2 linked regions of the Danio rerio genome follow. The protein of the gene in region 2 interacts with the protein of the main gene of each other region in a pairwise test. Links are inferred from orthologs where the notes say so. Each region holds a gene or a part of one and is shown on either strand. Other genes may lie near its edges.

Region 1 (2,831 bases), on a different chromosome or scaffold from region 2:
ACCAAAGGAAGGGCCAGATCATTGGAGTAGGTGCAGTTCTTTGCCCAAGCCCAAGAAATGTTGTTTACTGCCGACATGTCTTCGGCTCGGTCTATATCATTTGTAAATTTAAAAAAAGGTAAAGTTAGATATCTACCTCTTGTAAATAATTCATCATTTTGGTTTCGATGAAGTCAACAGAGTTTCAGGATCATTTAACATAAAGCCAATGATGCAATAAACAATAGACGTACCTTACCTTGAGAAATCTGAAAGAGGTTTGGGTACACCTGATTGTCGACTGCTTTATATCAACTCTGATTCTTCTTGGAAGTACATACGTATTCTCTTTGGGGAGTTGGTTGCAAGGTAATGACCATCAGTTGATAATTAGCCATTTGTGAAATTCTCTGATGTCTGTATCCGATTTAAAATGACTTCTGAATCTTTAAGGTATTTATTAATGTCTGAACTATTTGTAAAGCTATCCTAAAAGTAACATATACCCAAGTACAATGTAGAGATATGCTTTTTATTTAAGATTAAAACCATTTGTAACCTAAAAAACAGAAGCATTAATGTAGATGCGAGAAAAACTATATTTTCACAGACTTTATTGACATATCCATTGCTTTTACAAAGGTGAGAGAGCACTGATTAATAGCATATAAAAATAAGTATTTTAACAGACAGTTTTCAGACTAACAAAAGGAATAATTTTACATATTTACAACATTCAAGAAGAGTTCCCTTGCCAATATACAGGGTTTTACCAAGCTAACTTATTTACAAAATATAACAGTTTAGCATTAAATATGCAGGAAAGACCATAGCATCTTGTTTTAATGAAATTATGCAGTGTTGTTTTCGATATCTGTCTTGTCTGAATCTAAAGCAAAACAGTTGCATAGTGAGAACTTTATATATATATTCAAGCTTAAAATGAGGAATCTAACCGTCTCGCTGGTAGTGTTACACTTAAATGTTAAAACCCTTTGAAACGTGTAATTTATTCTAAAGAGGAGAAGGGTGAAGCAAGAACAGGTTTTCACATCTAAAACGTTCAAATGCCAGAAACACTCAAACCTTCCTGATTTCTTTTTAAAGCAAACAAAAAGACAAAATAATTAAAACAGCAGTAGTAACACCTCAAAAACCGCAGCAAATACTAAAGCTGATATAAAGTTTTTCTTGTATTCCTATGTTCTCATTACTATTCCTGGTATACTAATACAATAAAACCTTTCTATGGTCCAATATGCATACAGAAGAACCTTTTGAAAGGCACTCAACATAAAATATAAACTTTTAATGTATATACCCAACTTCTGAAAGAATAGTATGTTGTTCCAGAAAGGTTTAACAGGTATTATTGCCTTAACATGCATTCAATGGGCTTAACAGACAGTGATGTTTTAGCTAGATGTAAAGACAATGGCATTTGAGTAATCTCATTAGCAGATAAAGTCACGGGTGAAACCACTTTACTAATAAAAGTCACTGGGTAAATTTAATTATTCCTAAAAAGGTCACCCGGAAAAAACGCCCTCCTACTCCAGCGGAAACAACTGTTATCCGTTCACCTTGATGGCGCTAAGGGAGTAACAATCTTATGTTTAAAGATCAAGTAACTTTTTATTTTTAATGAGCTCCAGTGGGAAATAAACAACAAGCTCCAATATGGAGGGTAGAATGAGTTAACGGCTTCTTTCGACTATCGCCACAAAGAGTGGATATACAAGAGGACAATTCAATTGACGTCTTGCCGGTCAAGTATGTTGAGAATAAACAAAAAAATAACGCCAAAATTATAAAGTAAAACTGACTAAACGTCTTTGGATATCCCAGAGGCACAATATGTGGTGCCCATGGCAGCACGTCTTACACAGCAAACAAAAAAAATAAATACATATAAAAACACATCCTATTTTGTACATTAAACAACATGAGCAGCAGCTGTACCTGATTCAATGATTGGTAGATCACATTTGTGGTGTATCTTGCTCACTTGAGTCCAGATTGGGGATTGAGGGATTGATTACCTTACCAGCATCTTGAGCCTTCAACCCTAGAGGAACCAGTTTAGGCATAGGCCGCCATGTCACACTGGTTCCCTCATTGGCAGATTGGCCTGATGCAGCTTCATATGCAGCTTTCATGTGCAACAGAGGTGGGGGAGTAAGTCCATCACCTGTAGCATTGCATGTTGATGCATGTGGGCTTGAAGCATTTGTTGACTGTGCAACCCCGGATTCAGATGAAACCGAAGGGGAATCTGACCCAAAGATAACTTTGACCAGGTCATCCACTTTGGGTGGGATATCGATTTCATCTTTAGAGTCTGGGGACATCAGATCTTCATCTAGAGTTAAGAACAAAGGACTTAGAGCTCGGTCGTCTGCCGGTTCTTGATCTTCCGGTTTGTCAGAACAAGACTGTACATCACCTGGCACGGCAATTCTCTCATCTTCATCCTCATTAGTCAACTGTTGGCTAAGAAGAACAAGTTCATCCAGCAAAGACAGTAAATTTTCATCCTCAGGATCATCGCTGTCATCGGGACTCTTATTCTCCGGCACTTCTGGGTTGGACTTGGGTACAGATGCACCTTTCTGATCTTCTACGACTGATTGTTTGGGTACATTCGTGGATGGAGCCTCATCAGTCTTTTGCTCCAAATCTGGAATTTTGTCATTGGAAGAATTCTGCTGATTGTCCACAGATGTTGGCTGTGCTTGGAAAACAGGTTTATCTTCCACAACTTTCCGTGGTACTACTAGATTCTCCGCCAGAGAAATAACATTGCTGATATTTGGAAGGCTTGCAGAATCCACTGAAAATTACAATCATTT
Region 2 (3,661 bases):
TGTCCATAAGGTCTGCACTTTTTTTACTCTATACTGATGTAAGAGCCAATCATACAGCAGAAATGTGCAACAATGGGAATCTAGAAGTGTGTTGGTCTTGGAAACCCACCGAAAATAGGTTATGCTATTTAATGGACCCTCTCCTTTTTGTGGCTTCAGTCATTGTTGAAATAATCTTAAATCTGGAAGCATTAGCTTATAGTGAAATATATATCGTTAACGTTCAATATGGAAAATAGTTATTGCACTGTCATATCGCTCAGCCCTAATGTGAAGCCAATGTGGTTTTCTCTAAAAGACACAAAAAAGTCAGTTTTGGACAACGAGAGGCCTACAGTCTAAATGACTGGGAACCACTGGTATACAGGAAGCACACAGCATATGTAAAGGATAAAATAGTTTTATTTATATTCTCAATGTAAAGGTAGGCCTCAACTTGCAAGACAACTGTTGGCAGTATGTACAACATACCTGTAATTTCCATGGAATGGAATCAGACAAAGAAAGACCTACTCTGTTCTACTAATGTCCTAAGAGGAAAATATGGTAAAAGATATACACACGCGCGCACGCACGCACGCACACACACGCCTCCTAGACACTCAAAATGCAACTTTCGCAGTGTGCAGCGGTCAAATTTCCAATGAACATTTAGAACATTTACCTTTAAAAGTCACGACATGAATCTACTCTTTCAATATTGACTATCTTTTGTGGAGGGGAAACATTATTTGGAACGTTTACATTCCCAATATGGAGTGAAATACATAAAATACATGTTTGGGAGGCTCAGATGACAGATGCACAATATATGCTTCATCATCACTTTTTAAACCCATTTTTTTTTAGAAAGAAAAAAATCTTTTTCCCCCCATCTTGTAAACTTCACTACATCAGGCTAAAACAACAAATACAACACAAGCTCAGCAGCCTTCCCCAAAAGCATGTTGATTTTCTTTTTTTCTTTGTTTTTTTTTAAATAAGGGATTTTATCGATAATGTCAAACTGTATCACTCATCCCATAGGTCTAACAAGGGGGTACATTGATAGATGCTTCAAAAACATTCCTTTATGGAAAAAGTAACAAATATTTAGAAAGGCAAATCACTCAGGACAATTTATCTAAGGGTAGGTTCTAAGCAGGCTTTAAGATATTCAACAAAAACGTATATTTTAGCAGTGCTAGGAGTTGTACGCCTCATTCGCCCTCTGGGATTTCAACCTGGAGGGATTGTAGACAAGGGTACAAAAACCAAAACAAAAAAACAAAGCATCATGTCCTTAAGTTGCAAAGCTGCCTCATTTTGGGTTTAAAATCATCGTTTGTTGTTGCGTGCGCCAGGACGCAAGATGGACGAACACAGTCGGAGAGGGAGAGAGAGTAAAAACAAGCCTTGTTTTCTCCTCCTTTAGCAGACGTCCCTCGCTCTCGAGTTTCTTCTGGTGTAGAATCGACATTCACTTAAAAGAGATTGATCATCAAGGTGGTTTGGGGAGATTGAGGTACACAAAATACAACATGAAACAGGCCATTGCTGTGACTCTCCCTCCCCTCAGAGGAGAACTTTGTGGATCCAGGGTTTAGCTATCCTCCGGGCGATGCTTCTTCCGGGTGCGCTGTTCCTCCGGCTCGGACTCGGAGCTGGAATCAGACCCGCCGTCGAAGGCCGACACGGCGCTGCCCTTGGGGTTGGTGTACAGGCTGCTGTCTGAAGACGAGTAGTTGGCCTGAAGCTGCGTGGTCCCTTTGACTTTCTCCAGTGCCCGTACTGGAAATTAAACAGATGGCATGTTTTGGATGTGGTACGAGGGAACTGCAAAATGTTCAAGGAATTACACATACCTTGTTGCTCCAGCAGGGCGTTCTGCCTCTTCAGGTCGTCGATGTCCTGCTGGTGTGTGTGGTTTTTCCGTCGCATGTACTGGATGTATTCTGTGGCTTTGTCTAGGATTTGAGCTCGGGATGCCTGTTTGATAGATTGCTGTCAGCAACAAATGAAAAACTAGAATTTGACGCACGGAATGCAGTTTTATTGCACACACATGAACCTTAAAGTCATTTCATTCAAATAATCACAACTGAAAGCACACAACTTGAGGGATAGTTCATCCAAAAATCTTACATTCTTGTTTTCATGTCTGGTTATCAACATTCTTCCCAACATCTCCATTTTTTAGAGCATAGGTCTCAAGCTAAATTCCTAGAGGGCCGCAGCTCTGCAGTTTTGTTCCAACCCTATCAAACACAGCTGATCCATCTAATGAACGTGTTCATGACTCTTTTGAACACGTAGATTATTTGTATTAGCTGTGTTTGTTTGAAAGCGTTGGAGCAAAACTGCAGAGCTGCGGCCATCCAGGAATTGAATTTGAGTCCTGTTTTAGAGCTTTAACAGAAGCAGCAAGTTTTGGATAACCCAAGGGCGGGCAAAGGAGGAATACATTTTTATTTTTGGATGAACTTTGCCCTAAACTCTGTCTTATATACAATAAGAATTAATGCAAAAGAATTACAAGCAAATATTTTTAAAAATACTAAAAACTTTAATTTAATTGCTTATCTAAATTAAATTCATGCATTTTAATATAAATGTACATTATTCATTTTGACAATAGCTATACAATCCAAGTCATTATTTAGTGTTTATAAAGATACACCACTGCAGCAGCATGACTACCTTAATCTACATGTAAAAATGTAGCACAGCTAAACATCCAACAATCAAGCAATGCCTTGTCTATGTAATATTTAAAACTTCGTATAACCAGTAATTCTCAAATTGATCACCACTATTATAAAATTGTCCATCTTCCTCATTTATAAGTCACTTTAGATATAATGTCTCCTGAATACATGTAAATTATTATCAGCTGATAACCAATACAAGCAAGCATCCCTACTCTTATGACTTGAGTAAATTTTCATAGACTAAAATCGAACTCAAACCTGACACTTTTGCATAAACAGCATAAATAAACATGGCTCTATCCTAAGGGTCAAACAACAAGAATCTTGAGGCCTCTGTTTCAGACATGAGACACAAGAGGAAGGAGAAACCGCATTTCCCCCTGTAATGGCTTCCTGGCACCACGCCTGTACTTGGATCACATCAATCAGTCTGGATCTACAGTGCGCTTAATTCTCCTAACACTTTTCACTCACACCTCCACTCAACTTCAATCATATTGGAAATGCCACATTAACCATGTTGTAAAAGCAATTTAAACAGTCAAAAATGCAACCATTTCAGCATAAAATAGACCTTTCATTGTCAAGCAGAACACAAAACAAACATCCTTTATGTCTACTTGTGTTCCTCATGCTTTTACCAATGACATTCACCAACCTTTTCCCCTTGCAATGCAGGAACAGAATCCCGAAGGCTGTGAAAGCTGTCTTTGATGTGGTCCCTACGTTTGCGCTCCAGCGCATTGTGGTGTGCCCGTTTGTCTGCCTGCAAAAAGAGAATCACAGCGGCTTCAGCCTCTTCACTTGTCATAGTGCCATCTGATAATAATGTTAATAATAAGGAAACATTTACTGTTTAACATTTTTAAAATTTTTATTATAGATATTAAAATCTCAAAAACTTTATTTTTTTTTTGCTGTTGACTAAAAGGCCGAAAATCTAGCTACTTTGGGTTTACATACAGTCCATT

What was found.
Region 1: the proteins of max (region 2) and mgaa interact in binary tests that used the Homo sapiens proteins (3 or more experiments, as listed by UniProt). The link is inferred for Danio rerio from reciprocal best matches to the Homo sapiens genes MAX and MGA.

The regions. Positions count from the first base shown.
Region 1 is NC_133192.1:11,779,142-11,781,972, reverse strand, and holds the end of mgaa (MAX dimerization protein MGA a), read right to left. Parts: intron 2,813-2,831; coding exon 1,962-2,812; 3' UTR 579-1,961; downstream 1-578. UniProt on the Homo sapiens protein: Functions as a dual-specificity transcription factor, regulating the expression of both MAX-network and T-box family target genes. Functions as a repressor or an activator.
Region 2 is NC_133195.1:31,569,070-31,572,730, forward strand, and holds the end of max (protein max), read right to left. Parts: intron 3,457-3,661; coding exon 3,349-3,456; intron 1,984-3,348; coding exon of another isoform or gene 1,969-1,983; coding exon 1,845-1,968; intron 1,771-1,844; coding exon 1,583-1,770; 3' UTR 383-1,582; downstream 1-382. UniProt on the Homo sapiens protein: Transcription regulator. Forms a sequence-specific DNA-binding protein complex with MYC or MAD which recognizes the core sequence 5'-CAC[GA]TG-3'. The MYC:MAX complex is a transcriptional activator, whereas the MAD:MAX complex is a repressor.